Oreochromis niloticus: one gene and its partner. The protein of the gene in region 1 binds, or shares a complex with, the protein of each later gene. Links are inferred from orthologs where the notes say so. Each region holds a gene or a part of one and is shown in the gene's direction. Other genes may lie near its edges.

Region 1 (11,225 bases):
TCCTGGCCAGTCCTGCTGCTGCTGCGCTGTGCATCCCTCTGATCCAGAGTTGAGAGAGGAAAAAGGCTGTAAAGTTTATTCATACATTTATTATTCTTGTCCTGACCTCATCCATCCACCCATCCATCCATCATCACTGGCGGTGGGAGAAGTATCCTGGCCCTTTTACTCTAGTAAAGGTGGCAATGCAAGACTGCTGCTAAACATGCAAATAGGCTGGAGAAATCCAAACCAAACAGCAAATATAGTTCATGTGACGTCCTTCTAACCTTACAGGATGCTTATGAATCCACTGCATTTCTTTGACATTGGATGTATTTGCGGAGGTAGAGGAACCAGCTTGTAAAGATTTGTTCTGCTACATGTGAGTAAAATTAGGCTCTCATTCTTCAAATGCCACCTCCATGGTGATTTACTTCAACTTTGGACTTGGAAGTTCCAAGGAGAGCAATGAAAAAATGACTTAGCTTGATTGCACGGGGTTAGAGTTATAGCTACTGGTAGGGGTTGGAACTGGGGTCATCACCAATGATGGCTTTGAGCTCAGAGAGTTAAAGTGAGGTTAAAGTGAGGTCTGAGGTCCTCCTCTATTTTGAAACATTTATGCGTCTGGTAATGTGGAGAATGGTCCAGGAAAAAAGTGCACTTGTGCGTGGACAAGTGCACAAGCACAACTAAGTTTTAATACCTTATATTATACTATATTATGCTACAATATTACATAATGTATATTTACATTATGATATTCATAAGTCACACAGTGAATTACTGTGTAAACTGGTGTCAGATTGAGTAGAAAACAATCGCAGCATAAGCTGCAGTATATGATTTGCTGTCCGTGTCTTCTTAATGGGACTCTCTAACCTGGCAAACGATGAATGATGGTGGCTGGGATGGGGGAGGAGAAGTGTTTTCTCCCTATGACCCTCCCTCACTCTCTTTCCTTTCCCCTCTCTCTCTCTCACACACACAAATTACCCCTAAATGAAATAGGTAAAGTTTGAGTAACTTTCTCTCTTCCTTTTCCTTTTCCTTTTCCTTCTCCTCTCCCTCCCTCCCTCATTCTCTCTCCCTTGCCCATTCTCCTGCAGTCTCACTCACACACTCACACTCTGGCTCTCTTCAGTGGTACAGCACAGACAGGCACAACATCTGTCCTGCACGTGAAAAAGGTTTTTTTGGGGGGGGGTTTTACCATCCAAATATGCTACCTGCTTTGTGCTGAACTCTTGTGCTCGTGTGGGCCAAGGCTGAAAAAAGGGGTGGAAGCACTGGCAGAGAGGAAGAAATTAAACCAAGGTGGATGATGGTGAAATAATGCACACAGATTTGTCCGTTTGTAGGTGCCCAGTGAACAGATTCTATGAAAAGCTGTGTGCATCTGCATACATGCAGACATATACTTGCATAATGAAATGTTACAACAACAAAAAAAGACATTTTACTATCTTTTGATACTGTTTTTTATGCAAAAATGACAAAAAAAAACTACTGAAGGTCCAGCTGATTTTTTTATTTTTTTTTTGTAATTTCCATTATCAGGAGCAGTCTGTCCTCTGAAAGAAGGAAGGGCTGTGGTCGAAGTCTCTCACAAAAGCAAATGAAAGGCCCCTTTAATGGTCAACTCGTTTTCTTTCAACCTCAATATTCACCCTGTTTGTTTTTTTTCCCCCTGCCTTTAGAGGTCGTGCATGTAAGCGTGTTTCGGGCAGAAACTCAGTAATGCTACTACTTTTGCATTCGAAGGCAAACAAACAGAAAACATGCATTTAAAGTGTTGCAGGTGTCCTTGAATTCTTTGTCATTTCCGAGCCAGCTCTGAAGCTTATCGTGCATTGATGAATATCTCAAGCCATGATGAATACCTTACAAATGGGAAAATAGCTTTTGGCATGTTGTGCAGGCAGTCTAAGTCAAAAGACAGGTGTGCTCACTGTAATGTTTCCAGAAGCTGCAAACAAAATCTATACTGATCCTTAAAAATCACTAAGAAGTGATATTCCACCAGATGATTTTAAAGTCTTGAAACTGCACACTGTGGTATTGGTTTGCATTTTTTTTATGAATGAGTCATTATTTATCTTTTAAGTGGTAATTAAATCTTTAATAGTAAATAAACAAAACAAACAAACAAAAAACGGCCTCCTGTAGGCCACTTTTTTGTTGTTCCACACCTTCTAAAGTGTTGCCTCCTTCTTTCAGGCCCTGCTATTTTACTTTTTTGTCAAGCTCAATTTGCCAACAGGGCCCTGGCTCAAGGTTGGAGATGGAAATGGAGGAGGAGGAGGGGGAGGCCACCGGCAGTTATGGCAGGGGCCCCTGAAGGGGCAAAAAACGGTTCCTAAAGAGTGGGAGGCAGGAATTCCACAAACCAAGCCTGGCTGCTAAACATTCAGCTTTCTCTGCTGCAGAAGTGCCCTTTGAAATCCAGCTGCAACTGCATTTGGAGGAAGAGGGGGACAAGAGAAATCAGAGGGGGAGGGGGACTTTAAATTTCCAACAAAAACAGAGGATGGAGGAGAAGAGGCAGAAGAGAAAGAGAGGAAGAGAGCCATAGAAGGGAGTGGGGTGTCTGGTAGAGCGTCTGAATGGGCGTGCTCCTCCAGGGCCTCACCCCCCACTGTAAGGGACCTCCACAGATTATCCTTCATCTCAGCTTGTCCGTCTTGACCCCAACGACCCCGAGGCCAGCTCCATGTCCCCTTCCCCTCGTGCTCTCTTTTCTACACACACACACAACCTGGATCCTCATGCAAAAAAAAAAAAAAAAGGAAGAGGGGGGGCCCAATAGGAGAAAATCCAGGCTGATGCGGAGGACAAATGAGAAGGGGGAAGAAAGAAGAAAAGAGTGCTTTTCACCACCACTGGTGTGAAATAGAAGTGGGGCAGGGAGATGGGCCGAGGGGGAAGGCACATGAAGCACAGTGTGTGGACAGTGCTGCAGGTGTTTTACTCCAAGGATTCAGGATTTAGCGATGAGGGTGTTCAAATCAATAGCTGCAACATTTGCTTCATTGCTTGGAAGCTTCACACTTTCACTGCCTTTTTTGTTTCTTTGAAATTATATTTTCTACCGATCTGTAAAGCCTCGTTGAAAAATGAAAAAAGTGACACAAGTTTCCCCTTTTTGGAGCTTTTGTGAAAACTGCATCGCTGCTGATATTAGCACAGTGACTTTCCGTTGGCTTCTTCTAAACTCAGCATGATTCACCGCCTGCATGCAGCACAGAGGAAGCCCGTTAACATGGTGGTCCCCTCTCAGAGAAACTCATTTGCTCTTCGACGTACTCAGTAACTTTCCTCTAGCTGAAAAAGAAAAAAAACTTACTCTCCATCCTAACTGAGCTCCATAATGAAACATATAAACTTCTTTCCGCAAACAAAAACATGGGAAAATCCAATGTCGTGCGTGCCTACGTGGAGGACCCCTTATTTGCCCACATGGAGGTAAAAATGGAAAAATCAAGTAGCAGGCTGGACAAACTGTGAGCGTGAATATGTTAGTGCTCCTCGGGTTCTATTTGCAAAGCTGCAGGTGGATGCCTGAATGACACGATGCTGTTTGTGTTGGCTCGGCCCCTGGCTGCACTTTGTGGATGTGACCTACCTGCTTGATTTTTTTTGTTTTTTTAATGTAAAAAGGCAATCTGGAAAGAATGACAAGCACGGGAGCCACTGTGCATTTGAGTGGTGGACAGAAATCTCTGTAATATTTGGAGGCATTTCTTAAATAGAGACGTGCATCTGTGGTGCTGCAGATGCACGTCTGATTCTTGAGATGTACTTACCTCTTAACTTAAAAGTGAATTCTGACGCAGTATTCATGTGTTAAACAACTGAATCTGTGTTCTATCACAGTTACCGGCCTTTTATTCAGTAGTGGATGCTGATTACACAAAACTCTTCATTTGATCCTCTCGTTATGGATTTTTATATGTGGCAATATTTTTAGATGTGTTTATCATTTCACCTGGATTTTTGCACTGAAAATGTCAGTGACCTCTGAGGGAAGTTTACATCTGCATATGCAGTACATTTTAGAAAAAATGTAAAAACCTTTTTCAATTATAAATTTTGTTTATACAGCGCCAAATTATAACAACAGTCGCCTCAAGGCGCTTTATAGTGTAAGGTAGACTTTACAGTATACATACAGAGAAAAACCCAACAATCATATGACCCCCTATGAGCAAGCACTTTGGTGACAGTGGGAAGGAAAAACTCCCTTTTAACAGGAAGAAACCTCTGGCAGAACCAGGCTCAGGGAGGGGCGGGGCCATCTGCTGCGACCGGTTGGGATGAGAGAAGGAAGACAGGATAAAAGACATGCTGTGGAAGCTGTTTGTGAAGTACACTTTTCTACCACTCCACACTATTACATCCCTCAGGTATACACATTACTTATAGATACACATAGCCTGTAAATAAATCATGTTCAGTCAAGTGTGCGATATTTTTAAATCCCAGTCTTATAGTATATATATTTTCAAGATTTGTGTCATTAAATATAATGATATAAACAAAAAAGAGTCTTTAATCTTGAATCTAGAACTGCAGATGACAAAAATGCATACATGCAATATGTGTACCTGCCTGACGTTCTTTTGTTGTTTGTATGTTAACTAGCTACCTGACTAACTTTCATGGCTACATGTTGTTAGTTGAGTTTATGAACTGGACGTTTTCATCGTATTATATTTCTCCAATAAATCAAGGAATCTCTGTAAACATGTGCACCTGTTCATCCAATTTTCTTCAAAGCTTCCAGGGACATTATCTCAGAACCTCCTAGCATGATTTGAGCTTTGGATAGCAGCGAAAGCCAGTATTGGCAGGAAGTTATAAAAAAGCTAGTAATTCTAGGTTCAGCTGAGATAATTGTGTTTCACACAAACTGTTTCAAGGGGTTACAAAAATAGAAATAAAAGAAGGAAATAAAACAACACACATGTTTAAAATTCCATAATCAAAGTCATTTTTTCTGTTGAATTACTATAACTAGACTTTACAACATAGTACAGAACATGTAATAATAATAATAATAATAATAATAATAACAATAACAATAATATAATCACATCGCAAAAAAGTATTTTACAGAGTAACATAACATAGCATGAAGTGAAATAAACAAACTCCTTTTCCAAGTGTTGTTATTAACACTGAGAAAATCCCCTGTGTTAAATACGAGGATAGTATTTAATTCAGCCCTGCTACATTGCATTCCAATAAACATTGCTGTCTGTTTTTCATGCCATGGGTCACATGATTATATCCTTTATGATACTACTTAAACAGGATAATTAAATGATGTAAGCATTAAAACAGTTATAGAGACTAGGACTGGCATACTGAAAGACAAATTAAAAGCTGTGCTCTTTTTTTTCTGAGTGGATAATTCCCTGAAGTCTACATTTCCACCAGCGCGGTTAAACTCCTTCTCGCTAGGGGGCGATAGTTTAAAACCAGGTTTTGGATTGCTGGTACCCGAGTAATCGAGGAAACTCTCTCTGTTGCTAACAGTAGCTAGCCGGATAATCTCCTGAACAGCGCAGCCGTTCTTATTTTCTTGGCCGTTACAGTGTTGGTCTGTGTTTTTCTGTTTAGAGTCCAGCGATCTTGGAATTCACCGTTAGTGACAAGCGTTAAACCAGACATCGACGGCCAACCTTTTTTTTTTTTTTCTCTCCGCTGGATGTTTGGCCACTCTTGTATTTCTCCCAGGATGTTAGCACATAAGCAAACCAGCTAGCTAGCAAATCTGCTAAAGTAGCCAAATAGCTGCTCTTTCCGGATGCTTTGAATAGCAACGCAGCGGATTTGGGGAGTTCCTAGTCGGCCTTGTATGATGTCAAGCAACCGGCCACAGCAAAGCGCTGCTGGGGCGAGTTCAGTGCCCAGCACAAGTAGCAGCAGCAGCAGCAGTAGTAGTACAGGAGGCACTGGGAATACAAACGGTGGCGGTGGCAGCAGCGCTCCCACAAGTAATGGGAGCACTTCTGGAAATGTTGTGCCCTCACGGACCCTGGCAGCGGCCGGAGAGGGCGGCCTGTCAGTGCCAACTCTGGCCGCCGTGCCGTCACCCCGGGGCGGCTTAGCTTCTCTCAGCAGACCGTCTGCGTCCTCTGGTAACAGAAAGAGATCCCTGCATCAGGCACCACTGTACAACGGCCTCTTGAATTCATACGAAGATAAAAGCAACGACTTCGTCTGGTTAGTTTTGTATTGCACTCGAGCTTTGGGGTGAGTTCCGTAAAAGTTTGAGAGCTGCACGATGACTCGGGTTTCTGCTTGTTTTTCCAGTCCCATTTGCTTCGAAATGATAGACGAGGCACACATGACGAAGTGCGGGCACAGTTTTTGGTGAGTGTTTGTGTTGTAGAGAAAATGATGCACAGCAAAGTATTCGACAGTGTCACAAATGCTGAAGAGCAACAAATGTCACAGACTGAAGGAACAAAGTTATCTTTAAGACAAACCATGCACTCTGCGGGGATCCATACTTACAGCTGATTACTGTGCACTTTAAAAAAAACTTTTGACAATATTTTTTTATAGTATTTTTTTGTTCTTGCATTTTGTTTTAAAGTTTGGGCATGTTTTTAATGTTACAGATGGGCTTCTAGAGGAAGTTCCAAATCACAGTCCATCACATCAGTGTTGCTATATTTTAATGACAATAACAACATCAAACCCATACAATGCAAGTTTTGTACACCATGCAAGCCTCACTTCGTCTCTGGTCAGACCCAAGAGTTTTTCTGACTCAAAATAGGGGTGACGCTGCAAAAGCAAGATTGGTTAAAGCAGCGAGTCTGTTTGGTGTACATTTCTGCATTTTATTTTGGGAGTTTAATGAGTGAAAAGCAAGCTTACGGTTAAAACATGTCCAACTAATTTATAATCCTGGTAATTTTCCTTTAGAGGATGCCACCAATATTGTTTTCTATTCAAGGTGAAAAAAAAAACCCTGAATTCAACTTTTCATTAATGCCAAAAGCCTGTAAAGGCTTGCTGTTTGTTTTGCACAGAGAATTGATCAGGATTCATTAGGCTAACATTAAAAAAGTAAGCACAATGGCTATTGCCACCGGAATCAGTAAAATCAACTGGAAGGAGTGCTTTATTTTGGCAAAAATCCCAATTATTTTGATCGATAATGAAATGACGGATGTTTAATCTAGTCTAAGATATAAGAGACTTTTATTTTATGTAAGCACATTTTCTTTTAATTATAGAAAGTAAATGAATGAACTAAGTCATCCACACTGCATTTTGATAAGAAGCAAAAAGGAAAAGGTTCAAACTGCAAAGTTGGTTGTAATAATTAAAAACAACATCAACAACAACAAAAAAACAGAGCAAAAACATTAACTAGTTTTTAATGACAGTAGATGGTCTTAAGCTGAATATAAGCCTGTAGACTCTTCAGCAAAGTTATGGTAAAGCTTAACATGATTACTGGTAATCCACAGTTGGCTCAGTGTTCTTTATGCCTGTTGTGTTTGCTTGCAGTGATTCTCATTTCTGTTAATGGGCTCGTTTTTCAATGCTCATAATAAACATGACCAAAGATCCAAGTAATGACATCAGCACATTAGCAAGTTATGCCTCAGTTTGCGATAGTTTGTCTACTCACTGGTGATGTCGGTGCGAGCAGATATCCTTAACAGGATCAGAGCTCTGGCTTTGAGCAAAAGTTCTGTTTTTGAGGGTCACATATAATCAGAAGAAGGCCCAGTATGGGATGAATAAAGATTATTTTGACTATGACTCGTTTAAAGCTAATCTTGTAAGATCTTGGACTGAAACGTGGAGCTGGAGTCCATAATATTTATTTATTCTCTCTCTCCATCCTGCAGTTTCAAGTGTATCCGCCAGAGTCTGGAGGACAGCAACAGATGTCCCAAGTGTAACTATATTATCGATAATGTGGATCAGGTCTACCCAAACTTTCTTGGTGGGTATTTTGAACTGGAGGGATTTTTTGTTTTGTTTTGGGTTTTTTCTAACAGTCAGATGATCAGCTCCTAAACTAATCATTTTTCTCAGAGCTTTTCATTTTAACTTGGACATTAAAATATAGCTGTTATGTCAGTTTTGGACTTAATGATTTTTAAAATCACAATATTTGAATAGATTTGTCTTTAGCTCATAATCACTACTAAAATGAGGCTTTCGTATTTGAATGAAGTCAAAATTGAAAGTTTTGTCTCATAAATGGGCCAAACAAAAATCTAATGAAATGCATTGTGTAGGTATTTAAATGCATAATGATAAAGATGTCGCTGCCACTTTTCTTTTATTCATCACAAGTAAAATGTCTCTGCAGATGTGTTGTTCCTTAGCTGTGACAGTCTCTTTGTCATATACTTACTCCACTGTTCCTCCTCTCTTATTTATCCCTTGTCCACAACTTCCTCACCACATCCCAGTAAATGAACTGATCCTTAAACAAAAACAGAGGTCAGAAGAGAAGAGGCTAAAGTTAGATCATCCAGTGAGTACAGCATGTTCTCAAACTGATTTGATTTTTTTCTCTTTTTGTGAAGATGTCAAGCTTTTTAAAAATATGTTTTGTTACTTGTAACTGATCAGTGTCTCTGACCTTCAGAATGGGTCTCGGTGGCAGGTCTTCCAGGATGTTTTGAGTCCTGATCAGGAGAACTTGGACCTGGCAAATGTCAACCTGATGCTCGAGCTGCTGCTTCAGAAGAAGAAGCAGCTGGAAGCGGTAAGTGAGAGGCTAATCTGTGCATTTCTTTGTTTTTGTTTCATTTTTTTGGCTCTTTAGCTTTTCATTGGTTGCGATGGAGGGTTTTTTTTTTTCCTTTAAAATTATGTAAAGTTCGTTAATGCAATCCGTGCAAACCGAGGAGGTTCATAATTAATGGCTGTTGTGTTTTATCATGAAACTGATCACATGATCACAGAGCTTGTATGTTTCAGTGAAAAATGCAAGATGCAGTGAGGAGACAGAATTAGAGAGGGTTAATTATTTTTAGCATAAAGTTAAAGTGGTTTTTTTTTTTTTTTTTTTAATTTGTTAAACCTTTTACAAGTTCTCTAAATTAATTCTTTAAATGTTATCACAAGGTTGTAACAGTGGAATACAATCAGTAATATAAAACATAATGGAAATGTTTTAATATCCACTGAATGTCCACTTTTTTGTTCTGGAAAGACAACAAATGAAATTTATCACGTGCAGATAAGACCTTGTTGTTTTGGAGGCAGTGGGTTCTGATCTGTTTAAACTGAATCAAACAGAAGTTGTGTAATATTCTGAGTTTCTGATGACACTGATCGACATGTAGTGCAATAATGTGTTTGCTATCAAGGTCATCGTTGTATCAGACCGCACTATTGAGGTGTTCCCTTTTACAGAATGTGACAAACGTTTCATGGTATAATGCACTCCAATACAGCAGGATGTCCATTACATTAAATACGTCACTCTGTCAGACTTCCTGGCAGAAAGAAGTTCTTTTGGGTTGCGTTAGACTTCAGATGTTCATAATAAATTAGGCATTGTGTGTATATAGTACTGGTAGCAATGGTAAAGATGCTACTTTTGTCAGAAGGTTTCTGGGCAGTTTCAGACATCCCTTTTTTTTGTTTTTGTCAGTTTACGTGACATAAAAAGAGAAGTAGGACTTTACAACCTTGGATTTCATCAGCACTATCTAAGACTTGCATTGATAATGAGATCTAAAATCCAAACCAGTTTTGAAATGGGAGTCTTTGCTTTTGAATTGCAAGTATGGATGCTACAAACATGTCTTTCAGATTTTCAGATGGCGCTACATGGCGCCTTGAGCTTTCTCGCTGTCAAGCACATGCTCGTCTTTCTGTTTCTTTTTCACACAAACACATGCAGTGTGTCACTGTTTGACTGTCATGCAAACAGACAGACTCACACAAGAGCAAGCCCAGTAATTCAGCTAAGTTTAGGCTTATGTATTGGTATCTGTCAATATGTTAATAGAATGTCCAAGCTAGTTTAGAAATAAGGGCTCCATAGTTAGCCGTGATATTGTATATAGTCAATAGTCTTCCTTTGCCTTGCTGCTTATTCTGTATACAGGACACATTGCTGATTGATTGTTAGCATGTGTGTGATAATTTGCCTCTGGACATATTTCATGTTTCTAGTTTTATCTGATTGGGCTTGTTTTTGTTTAGAGTGTAATTCTTCTTATTTAATCAGTTGTGATTTGCCAGTTTTAGATTCCATGTAGATATTTTATATCAGTCAAATTTAGGTCCCCGCAACTTAACTGTCTATTTGATTGATGTTTTGTTAGTATTCCTCCTGTATTTACGGTTGTTGCTCATCTATCCAAACCTGAAATATATTTTTTTAAAAAACATCAACATTTTAGATTTAATGGTCAGCCAATCTTAGTCTCCGTCTTAAATGTCAGCATCAGTCAGTGTGGGTGTGGTGGTGCTTTTCAGTCCTTCAGATGTTTGCTTTGGAGCTACTCTTTGGTTTTCATTGAAGATTAAGTAGAATTGAATAGAAATAGTCAGATATTATCTCCATCTGAGGCTACGTCCACACATACCCGGGTATTTTTGAAAACGCAGATTTTTCTATGCGTTTGCACCTTTCGTCCACACGTAAACGGCATTTTCAGTCACTGAAAACGGAGATTTCTAAAAACGCCTGCCAGGGTGGATATTTTCGAAAACTCCGTTTTTGCATTTACGTGTGGACAAGAAAAACGGAGAAAACGCAGCGTCAAAGGTGTGCGCCTTTTTTGACGTCACACTGTGCGCCACGTTATTGTTTCGGTGAAATGAATTTCTACAATACTGTTACTGTTAATTGTACTCTCTGCAGTGTTTAAATGCTTACATATACACACACAGTTACTGTCCCTCCACACATACGACTCGGTTCTGCTTCTATGCCCCATCTTTGTTTACTATTTCCTACCGAGGATTCTAGACTTCTGATTGGCCAACATTTCTACACAGTTAGGAATATATCGCCACCTGTTGTTTTGGCATGTTCCTAGCAGCGTTTTCCTTCATTTCTGCGTTTACGTGTGGACGGGATTATGTTTTTTTAAACGAAAACGGAAAATCTCCGTTTTCAAAAATACCCGTGTATGTGTGGACGTAGCCTGAAACCTATGACATGCTTTCAAAGAGCACAGTTGTCATCAGTATTTGCCTAACAGCCAGAGACCTTTAGGTTTGGTATTCTTGAGCAT
Region 2 (11,757 bases), on another chromosome or scaffold:
TACACCAGCCTGCTTTCAACTACAAGCATGAGTTTATTGTGTTAGTAGAGTCTGGGTTACAGAGTTACTCATAAGGATTTTTAAACACCAATGCATGAGTTATCTTCTCAACCAGGTGAACTAGTTAATGGAAAAGGCTCAGAGGCCAAGTAGCTGGTTAATAAACAAAAATTAATTAAAAATAATCAAAGAAAATCACTCAGTGCCTGAACCATACAAGGCAGAATGGATTAATGTTTCAGGTTGTTCACTCCTAGTTCTGACTCTACCATCTGCATGTTGCATTGGACCAGGTAATGCTTTTTCCAGTCTTCTGTTGTCCACTTTAGGTGAGCCTGTGTGAATTATAGGCTGGTCATTTTCTTCTGACCTCTGATATTAACAAGAAATTTTAATTCAGAGAACAGCTGCTTGGTGTACCATTCCCTGTAAACCCTAGAGTTGGCTGTGTGGGAAAATCCCAGTAGATTAGCAGTTTTTGAAATACTCAGGCACCAGCAAACTCACTTATACTCACTTTCTTCCTCATTCTGGTGCTCAGCTTGAACTTCAGCAGGGTGTCTTGACCGTGTCTGAATACTTATACTTAGATTACTGCCATGTGATTGGCTGATTAGATATTTGCATCAATGAGCAGCTGCCGAGGTGTACCTAATTAAGTGGCAGGTCAGTGTATATATAGAATAATATATTTCACTGCATTCAAAAGCTACAAAGTTGGGGTTTTTTGGTCCAAAAGACTTCATACATCCTCAGTCACGTCAAAAACATCTTTACAATTACAAATTGATCAGCAGCCAAGACAAGAGCCTATAGTGGGCCATGATTCGGTCCACAGGCCATAGGTTGAGTAGTGATGGCCTACATGATCACCAGATCTCAAACTGGTTAAACCAGAAAAAACTGTAGACCAACCATGTTATAGCTAGTGTATCTACCCATCATGTAATAACCAAAAAACTTTCTTTGCTCAAAGCAGAACTCATATCAATAACCTCAGGTTATGTTTACTACACTGAAAGGTCTGAAGAAGCCGTTCCCAACTATGGTCAAATACTACACCTGTGCTCTGGACAACACACTGCCCTAAAAGTCATTTGTGGATTTACACTGTTGGAGATAACTCCACGCCCCACGAAACTGCTGACAGGTTATTGCCTCCACCTCTAAACATGCCTTTTGCACTGCACTTCTAGACGAAAGCTAACGCCTACTTGATTCTTCTAAATATGTTTATAGCTTTTGTTCAGGAGGGTTACGCGTCCATCTTGATAACAGGTCTTGCACCTACTGCAATTAACTCCTGTGAATGTAAAATAAATGTTAAACTAAAACAATGCCTTGATCCCCTTAGTTTGTGCAGGTTATGAGTGCTTTGTGACAACATATCAGTACTATTTGGTCGGAAATTTGAAGAAGAAAAATATTATAGGTTCTCAGTCAGGAAGATCATGGCAGTCTTGAGTGCTTGACTTGAAGATGTTTGCTTTCTCATCTGAGAGGCTTCTTTAGTTCTGAAGACTGATAGGGAATACCTACATGGATCTCTCATGGATCTGTCACCTTGGAGGTGGTCTTTTTATCAGACTATCAAAGTTTCACAAAGAAGTCACACCTTGGCTCTTGCAACCCTAACAACTCAGATGAGGACATGGTTGGCGACTCTCAGAACACAGGGTTAAATCCTGGGACTCCCTATCAGCTGGTAAAACTGAAGAAGCGCCTTCATTGCAAGGTCTTCAAAAACCTATAAACAAAACCCAGATGCCTTCAACTCAGGCTCTTAATATGACAAAATATACAAAGAAAAAACATTTAAAGGAACTTCCTGCCTTCTGAACCACAAAAAAGATGACAAAGCATGTAGGTTTGCTTTGCCAATCATTCATTTACAAGAACTGTCAGCCACAAAAGACATATTAACATTACATAGCACTTCATGTGAACACTCTGTGGACAGCAGATGAAGAATTTAATTTTTCAGCTTAACTTTACAGCTTCTCAGAAGACATTTGGGGAAGGCTTTGTGCTGAGTATGTGCAAATATGACAACTCCCCTGTGTGAGAACAAATGTTTTCAATCACAGGGGAACAATGTGTCGGGGTGTGTTCCAGTGTAAAAACAATTAATGCTATAAAACCTGAGCTGAGCATATTGTAAAAATTAAAAGGATGCATGAAACCTAACCTGGGATTGAATAGCACAAATATCTGTGCTGCCAAGGAGCCGGTGAGTCTAAGCTAACCAACCGTGTCTCAACCCAAAAGATGAAAGAAAACGTGATGGACAGATTGGGATAACTAACAAGGACGGCAGAAATTTTTGGCCAGACTACAGTCTGGAGTCCTTCCACATGAAACAATCTCCATCTCAGCTCCTGGTTTGATTGATTGTCCTTGAGGTCAGTCTAGGTTGTAAAAATATAGAGCATATTCAGTAGAAATGATTGTTGCGGATTGATGGCTAATTTTGGTTGGGACCTCAACACTTGAGTTCACGCAGTTCACAATCTGGGAGCTTATGTGAGAATAGACACTAGAAAAGAGGAGTACTGAATGCTTTTAGACCATTTTTTTTGTTTTAGAGGCAGAATTTTTATCTTGACAGAATAGAAAGGCAATAATTTTTTATTGTAAGCATGCAGTTTAAAATCCACTGGCCCACTTCTATCTCCCACACTCTAATTCAGCATTCATAGCAAACTGTCAGCCGGCCAGAGAAACAATGGTAATGGCAGACAACCAGACATTTGGAGAAAACAAATTCTACTTTACAAATGTCATAAAAGAAAACAAGCTGCATGATACCAACAGTGGAAATGATTGGCTTGTGAAAAGACTCATATAATGTCCCTACTTCCTTCTGCTTCTTCCAGATTTACAAGAATAGGATCCAAGTTCAGCTGTAATTATACTTACCTGATATCATGAACTTTGTGAAGCTGTTACTTTGTCAGAGAAATACAGATCAGCTTTTCTTTGCTGCAGAGGAGTTTTCTGGGGGAGGGGTTTAAGATTTGCGGTGCAGTCACTAAAATCAATGATAATAATTTTAACAATGTTAGCAAATACGTGCATACTACAAACAATAGATGTAAACGAAAAAATTAAAATTAAAAATGAAAGTGAAAGTGGCACGTTTGGGTCAGTTCCTGTCTCAAAATGTCAGACTTTACAGTTGAAATAAACATGCTGGGAAAAAAAGGTTTGGGGCTTTACATCAGGTAAATATGTATAGAAGATTCAAAATATTTTAAATCGTAAAGCTTTGCAAAAAGTGGTGTATCCCCTTTTAAGTGGGTGCTTATCCAGTCACTAGCTGTTTGCTAGCCTGCTAGCGTGACTGATCTGGATCTCCGTTTTTTTCACTGTCGGGATGCTTTTGGAGCAGTTTTCATGCAATTAACTGAAAAGGATATGAATAGTTTTGTGTCAAGTTTAGTAACAGTGCTTCGGTCAATGTTCAGTCAAAGTTTGTTTGTTTCTCTGCAATGCATGAATGGACTCTACGGGTGCACCTGGCTAACCAAGTATGTGTTTGCTTGTCAGACATGACCAAACATGCTCGCGTCTGTCTCCAAAACAACTAATAGAAAAAGATTAATGCTAAATTACTTAACTGAACTCAACAAACGTGCGATAACGGGACCATTTCTGTGGTGTCACCATCAAGATAGCTAACAGATGTTTCTCCTTCAATTGCATGAAGTCAGGTTATGTCAATAGACGCTAGCATTCATTGGTGCAGTGGGTAACACAAGCGCAGAGGTTCTTCATTCAGATCCTGGCTGCGGGGCCTTTCTGTGTGGAGTTTGCATGCTGTCCTTGTGTTAGAATAGGTTACCTCCGGGTATTCTGGCTTCCTCCCACAGTCCAGAGAAATACATGTTAGGTCAACTGGTGATTCTAATTTGGCTATAGATGCGAGTAAAGTGCAGTATGTATGGCTCAGTTTGACAGTTATTTATCCTCTCAGTCATTTCATCGATGTTGCTTTTTTGGGTCAAAATAAGAAAAATAATACCGTTCTAAATAAAAAGAAATCTTTTTTTTAACATATTACAAAACAGTAAACTAACCAGTAACAGTTTTGCTAGTAAAATAAATTTAAAACACACATGAAAGAAACATGCTGACTGTTTACTCGTCATGTTTAACACTGATAACATACGGAAGATTTAACTGTTTTTTTAAATTATTATGAAGCATCTAAAGTATCAACAGAAAGAGGTAGTTTAAAGCAGGCAGTCAGGAGTGATTCAGGTGACTATACATCTAACTTGAGTTACTGTCTCACATCTGCAGCTCCGTTAATTGCATGTGTCTGTGTACGTTGGTAAAAATGAGCATGAATGAAAAGTAACCCACAGTGATGGCTGGATGTCAGCCAGATCAGACTTGAACTATTCTCAGAGCAGATCAATTCCCAGTCTCTCTTTATTGCTGCCAGTGGTGAGTGACTCAGCTAATTATAACAAGGAAGATCATGCCCTGAATACTGTTTTCACTTCTAGCTCACTGGCTACTCAGTAACACTCCTACTCAGGCACCGTATACATACACATACCCACACACACCATGAGGCACACACTGGCTGACCGGCTATATATACTGCTACAACCTGCTGTTCGGCAATAAAATCTATATTGTGTAATCCACAGCCCACATATCTTGATGTGACTTTGCGTGATGTGATTCCAGCGTGAACTCTCAGTTACACTGATACAAAATGTGACATTACATGCACACACAAGCTTTTTTTAATCACAGCCAACACAAATAAGTCAGCTTTTCCAGTATCCTCCTAAACACCGTGTCACGCACAAACAGACTCCAAACACACATAATCACTTTGATGTCACATAACAATAAACCTTCAGTACCTCTGCCTCCCATTCCCACAGTGACTGCTCATCCTGTTTGTTCAACTTCTTAAAAAGAGAAAGAGGGAAGGCAGAAAGAGAGGAAACCTGTTCCCTTGCCTGCTCAGCAGCATGACAAAGACACTTGCTCATAGAGACACGCATGCATCAATCAGTTGAGTGAGTCACCTTTTTCGTAGGACGACCACCGCGCAAAGAAAGAATGCAAGGCCTAAAAATAACAGCCATCATTCCTATGGAATCTGCAGCTCATCCATGTTTGGACAGCCTGCAGAAACAGGTTTGCATGACCTTTTTGAGTCAAGCTGTGCCCAACCGCTGTGACCCGGTTAAGTGTGTGACATGTTGTGGAAGGAACCGTGTTAGAGATGTGAAAAGAAACGACTGGGAACGGCCTGCTTCTGATTGGCAGGATTGGCCGCACTAAAGAGTTTTGACGGTGCACACGCGCACACAGGCCAGCTGGTGCTCTGTGTTTTCAGTGAATGCTCAGTGAGCCTCTGCTGCAGCCACTGTGCTCGTTCAACATAAAGCAGTGGAAAAAGAGAACTCTTGCGCAACACGCGCATGGTCACGCGTGTGTACACACCCCAACAAACGCACACAAACATGCACATTTATAATTGCCCAACACGACTCGTCTCAGCGCTCATCACAGGAATGTTTTTCAAACTGACTATATCCTGCACTTCACCCTTGAATTCTTAACGGTCCATCGTTCACTTGATTATTATTTTTTTTTCAATATCATTGCATAATTCTCATAAAGAATTGCACAGCATTTGGCTCCTTTGGTAGGGGTGCTTGATGTACAAGTGGTTTCACCTTAGCCTGGCTGCTATGATGTTGTTTACAGAGCCAAGCTGGCATATTTTTCTGTGAGTTCTTATAGCCCAACAAAACTACAGCTTTATGGGGGTGAGTCATATCCACAGGCCCAGCATGGGAAAATATCATGGTGTTGTTAAAGCCAGAGTTCAAGCTAGCACACTGAAGCTTTTTGTATGGGCTGGTTCACACCTGAAGCCCAGCGTTTAGAGAGCAAACAGTTCCGGTGCCACGCAGAGGTCTGTGGAGAAAATGTTACAACTGGCAATAAAGGGCAATAAGAGCCGAACACTAAGGAACAACTGAGTCAGACAAGGTGCTTCAAGGATTGTTAATTATTGCCTAAAACATGTGCATGCTTGATGAGGCAGCTGATAAGTAACAGATGATTTCTTCACTCCTCTCATCAGTTCCTCAAGTTCCTTGATATCAGCAAAAAACTCTTATGGGGGAATTTGAAGATTCATGACACACTGGTTAGGAAAAATAAATAAATAATGTTTGAAGCATATGCTCACGCAGTCGTCTGAGAAAGCTAATACAGTGGGTAGTGTCATCAGAGCCGCGCTGAGCAGGATTGCTCAATGGTTGTGTCACCAGGAGGCTGGACTGGTCGGGCGGAGTGTTTGAGCTCAGAGCTCAACATCACTGGAGCTCGCTCACTCTCAGCCACTCTTTGAGTGTGAGGCGGTCTCTCTTTCTCTCTGTGTCCTCTCTCTTTTTTCCTCTCTCTCTCTTCTCCCTCTCTCTCTAACAAACACTGACTCTGGGCTCTGAGGGATCGGATTTTTTTCCTCTCACCAAAAGTACACAGACCTCAGAAGCCACGAGCGCTCACTCTACAGAAGGACGTCGATTTGGATTATTACCAAAATCCGCTGAAGTTTCTTTTATGTGTCACCAGTCCTGAGTCTTCTACGGAGAAATGGAGAGCACAGTTTGTAGCTTATTTTAACCGTCAAAGGGAGCATCTAAAAGCAGACGGACCTCGCTTCTTCTTTTTTTTGCTTTCATGGTGAATCGGCCTATCAGGATGAACTTGCAGTGGAGCAGCCGGGCACCTTGCATCCGCGCGGGGAGACTCGCGCACAAGCGGCTGGACTCAGACGATCAGCCGCCGGCCAAATGCGCCCGGCTGAGCGCCGAGGCGGGGGACACGCAGGGACTCCTTGGCACCTCTCCCGGATCCCCGGTCAGCCCCGGCTTAACCTCTGTCCCACCGACTCACCAGGGACCATCCAGCATAGGATCGTATCTACTTCTACCTCTGGCGGACCGGGAGTGCATGCACAGCGCGATGAACACCGATACTGGTGATGAGCTACTGTGTAAGGTATGCGCAATCCAGTCATTGTGCAATTTCTTTGAATGAATGATGTTTCAAGACATCCCGTTGCCCAATACCCTGTCTGACATGTCATCCGTATTTGGCTGACTTTTTCACCAGATGTCATTCTCACGCGAAATGTGTCACGATTTGCGTAATAAAAGTCTTACTTCATTATATACATATTTTTAATTTTTTTCAAATGTCTGAACCTGATAAGGCTCCTTTCATTTTTACACGACGTGGAACAGCAGGCAAACCCTATGTTGCCTGTTTTGTATTGTGGAAATTCAGCCTATCATACTGAAGCCCACCAATCCTTGGCACCGGTGCTTCGCACTGTGTCTGTCAACTGGGCTCATTTGCATACACGTCATCGCAGTACGCCACGCTGTGACACACAAAAATGCAAACATGTGAGGCAAAAAAGGCTCTCGTGATAAGGATCTTTCCCGATAAGGACAGGGTCCTCCACTGTTCCATATCCCTGTTTATTTTGCATCATAGACCTGCAGGCGTTTGGCTTTGTTGATTAATAAAGTTAATCGCTTCACGCTTTGATGATTCATTTGTCATGCGCTTGCAAAAGCAATGTATTGAGCTGGAATCAAAGCATATCCCAAGCCTTTTTTATGTCGCTGCCAAATTTTCATGGTTGTTTACTTAGATGATCATTAAGAACATACTGACCTATTGCCTCTTCCTCCTCCTCCTCCTCCTCACACTCACTCTCTCTCTTCTCCTTAACCATCTTTCTAATTTCCATCATGCATCCCTCCTTTTCCTCCCATCTTTCTTCCAGGTCTTTGATATGGGGGTATACCAGGAAAAGATCAGAGCCTATGGTATTCTACCAGCACACAAGAATGTGGCCGGCATCAGGGACATCATCCTCGGTGAGCGCAAGGCCTACGTGTTCCTGGATAAAGACTTTGGGGACATGCACACTTTGGTAAAGAGCTGTCGCCGACTGGACGAGGGACATGCCTGCAGGCTCTTCCGTCAGGTGGCCCTGGCCGTAGCCCACTGCCACCAGGCAGGCATTGTGCTGGGTGACCTGAAATTACGCAAGTTTGTCTTCGCTGATGACAAAAGGTGAGGATTTAAAGTCCTACTGCAGCATCAGATTCACCTGTCACGAGTCTCGAATTGCTCTCAGTCCTTAACACCGATCTCAGCTATACAGATTTATTTGAATGCTCTCAAACGTGTAGTGTAGTGGTACATGCCAGTGAAGACACAGAGTGAAGACAGCAGCAGCTGATACACGCACAGGCCATGTGTGCAGATATCAATGTGGGCACAGATAGAGTAGGAGGTTCTGTACTTGTGGAGGCAGACTGCTTAGCTTCCCAGATTTTCGCCCTCTCTGTCTGTCTCCCTATTTCACTCTCGATGTGTCTCTTTGTATGCAGTGTTGTGTGTTTGTTTTGCATGCTTGTGTGTGTGTGTGCGTGCGCGTGCACAGGCAAGCATGTGTGAATGTGGTGGGTGGCAGTTTGGCAGAGCTGCGAGACGAGGCTGCTGAATGAGAAAATCATACCTTCTGTGGTCTATATCTTAGAATGCATTTATTACTCATCATTTATTAATAAATTACATCATAGCAATGCTGCAGGATAACTGGCGTGTCCAGAAAAATTTCATTCACTTACATCCATGAAGTAGTATGCTTTGAACCTGCGCCCACACACACACACCTACACACACACACACACACACACATCTAAATGCCTGCATCTCCCAGTGCCAGATATAGTTCAGGAAGATACACAAAATCCATGCTTGCAAAACTGTTTGTCGCCTCTTTGCCCTTGCGTCACTCTCTTTTCTGTAAGCGTCCACTGATCTCCTCCACCCCCTCAATCCGGCTCTCCAAAGGGCCTTTTTCATGGAGACTTTTGAACAGTAACATTCTCCAGTCATGACCTCTGGGTTAGCTGGGTTACAGTCGATGAATGAGAGCAGACAGCCAGTGAGAGAAGTTGAAGTTAGTCGCGTCCCTCTGATAGCTATATGGCTGCAGAGCGATGAGTCACTGTGTATATGGGCAGAGGGGAAGAGGGGAGGGAGGGGGGTGTTGCACAGCTTTTTTCTTTTTTTCTTCGTGCGAGTGCATGTGTCCGTACATGCATGTTCGCGCATTCAGAGCTGTAAAGCTGCGGTCCATTGCGAGTTCAAGTGGCTTGTTGCCGGCAATTCAGTATTTCGGCAACGGAGCGACGGCACTGCAACATTAATGTTGGTAGGCTGACCCGCTCGACCCGTGAAGATGTGTGGTGACGGCATCTTTTTTTTCTCATTCAGACTTCTCTGTGCACTTTTAATGGTAACATTTCAAAGCGCCACTACAAAAACAAAAAAACCTAAAAAGCATCCTGTCGTGACTTTGAAAAACTAACCTGCAGGCTTTGCTGATAACATTAAACGGCTCCGTGACATAATGGAATTTGGCGGTATTCGTTTCCAGAAAATCAGCTTTGTTCACCCTGAGATCACCTCTTTTGCTCTTTTGTCCAAACACAGACAGACAACAACTTAAGGCTCACTGAGCTCTTACGATTCTGCATGACCTCATTTATTCCGTCATCCATTCCTCCAAAATTCACAATCAGGCATCTTTCAAACCCCAGCGCACAAGCCGTGATGCAATGTCCTGGCCAACAATGCAGCGGCCGAGCCAGCGACAGAGAAAGTCACAACATTTTGACAAATGCTAGCTGCATTCGCACACACACTCGCACACACACACAGACATACACAGTGCAGTTGGGAGAGCCAGTTTAGGAAAGGTGACTAGCACTCTGAAGCATGCAGAGCTTCACAGTCAGGCCAGCCTTCCCGTGCGTCACTGATGTGGCAACAGCCATTTGAGGGTAATTATGGGATGGCTGGCGCCGCAAGTGTGGGACCCAGGTGCAGATAGCCTCGGCTCGAGAAAGAGAAAGAGAGAGAGAGAGAGAGGAGGAGGAGGAGGAGAGGAGATATGTACTCTCAACAGTAGGATGAGTCATTCTCTCCACCCCTCTAACTCTCTCTGTTCTGTTTCCTTTTCTGTCTCCATCTCCTTTCTCCTCTCCTGACATATCTCCTCCACTATCTTGCTGTTTAAATATCATTTGCTTTTCCGTCTTGGTCCTTCTGGCTGTCACTCTTTTCATCCTCTCTCCGTGGCTTTTTCTTTGTCTGCAGTCAGTCCGTCTGACATCTCAAGTGTCTCACTGGGGCGAACCCCCGAGACTGAGATACAACAGAACTCTTTATGTGCGTTTCACTTGGTGAAATCCCCCCCAGTCATTATACACAAATTAAATTAGAACTAAAAACAGTCTGTATCTGCTGCTGTAAAAAGGAAAAAAACATAGAAAAATGCATGACATATTTTTTTGCCCATGGAAATGGCAAAAGTTTCCCATCAAATGTTCTATCTTTGCGCAAGAGCGTTTCAGTGGTGAGTACCTCATCCTGAAAAAAAAATATGCTCTCACAGTCTTAGTTGCTCTGCTGCAGGACTAAATGTACGTCCTGTCATTAACTTGGCTAAATATAGCATTGTGTGTGTGAGAGTAAGGAAGGAGGAGGGGGGTGTTGGTGTAGTGTATTTATATGTGTGTTTACATGACCATGTGAGTGCCAGGAAGTCATTGGAAATTTGCTTAGGCAGCTCTGCTTCTTAAACGGGAATCACAGTGGCGCACTTAGGTCGTAGTAAGTTCACTTCTGTGTGTGTGTGTGTGTAAAACTGTCTGTCCATCTGTCTGTTGCACAGATTAAAGCTAGAGGAAGGAAACACACTGTACTTGTCCTGCTTTACTGTAAAATTAAAGCCCTCTCTTGTAGTTATTTTTGTGGGATAGCAGTTTGACTCAAACATACATATATTGACATTTTGCGCTATTGAAGTCCATTTCAGATATGTTGACCTTGTTTTTGACTTCCTTTACAGGACACAGGTGAGACTAGAAAGCCTTGAGGACTGCCGCGTCCTGGAAGACCCCAAGGATGACTCTATGTCAGACACCCACGGCTGCCCTGCCTACGTCAGCCCAGAGATCCTCAGCGGTTCCACGCCTTACTCCGGCAAGATGGCCGACATGTGGAGCCTCGGGGTCATGCTGTACACCATGCTGGTCGGCCGCTACCCCTTCCACGACCCGGACCCGGCCACACTTTTTTCCAAAATTCGCAGAGGCCAGTGCTGTTTGCCTGAAGGTTTGTCTCCCAAGGCCAAGTGTCTCCTCCAGAGCCTGCTGAGGAAAGAACCCTCTGAGAGACTCACAGCAACTGAGCTGCTCGCCCACCCGTGGTTCCACGTGCCGCCATCGTCCCGGGAAGCGGCGCTGGGTGACCAGGAAGTAAGCTCGGCCGAACAAACGGTGCCATCCTTTGATGCGGAAGAGGACGACAACCTCTTCTGCTGACGGATTCGATTTGAGTCTGACTGAGGGACCAAAACAAACTATGAGGGATTCATTGTTGTTTTGTTCTTTTTGTTGTTGTTTTTTTACATTGGCACTTTTTAGAAACCCATTTGTGTACTGTTGTGTGTACATACACCCTCGAGCTTTCTACAAAATCTTACTGTACTGTATTTTGTTGTCGTATACATGTTACTCGCTAAGGGCATTGTTCACAATGATCACTCATTGTGTTTCTGTATGTGTGATTTGGAAATTATTTGGTGCTAGAAGAATTAACCATGACAGAAATAAGCCAGAT

What was found.
Region 2: the proteins of cop1 (region 1) and trib1 are in contact, whole or in part, in a crystal structure (PDB 5IGQ), measured with the Homo sapiens proteins. The link is inferred for Oreochromis niloticus from reciprocal best matches to the Homo sapiens genes COP1 and TRIB1. Residues at the interface, in NP_071902.2 of Homo sapiens: Ile423, Ser425, Val441, Lys472, Tyr491, Trp517, Asp534, Ala556, Asn557, Cys559, Ala576, Asp577, His578, Lys600, Ala601, Ser603, Thr618, Lys643, Asn644, Phe645, Phe699; in NP_079471.1 of Homo sapiens: Asp355, Gln356, Ile357, Val358, Pro359, Glu360, Tyr361.

What each region holds. Positions count from the first base shown.
Region 1 is NC_031982.2:4,015,888-4,027,112, forward strand, and holds the start of cop1 (E3 ubiquitin-protein ligase COP1), read left to right. Parts: upstream 1-5,389; 5' UTR 5,390-5,845; coding exon 5,846-6,213; intron 6,214-6,303; coding exon 6,304-6,363; intron 6,364-7,862; coding exon 7,863-7,960; intron 7,961-8,435; coding exon 8,436-8,500; intron 8,501-8,614; coding exon 8,615-8,734; intron 8,735-11,225. UniProt on the Homo sapiens protein: E3 ubiquitin-protein ligase that mediates ubiquitination and subsequent proteasomal degradation of target proteins.
Region 2 is NC_031985.2:21,526,311-21,538,067, reverse strand, and holds the start of trib1 (tribbles homolog 1), read left to right. Parts: upstream 1-6,282; 5' UTR 6,283-6,723; coding exon 6,724-7,044; intron 7,045-7,840; coding exon 7,841-8,133; intron 8,134-10,984; coding exon 10,985-11,459; 3' UTR 11,460-11,757. UniProt on the Homo sapiens protein: Adapter protein involved in protein degradation by interacting with COP1 ubiquitin ligase. The COP1-binding motif is masked by autoinhibitory interactions with the protein kinase domain.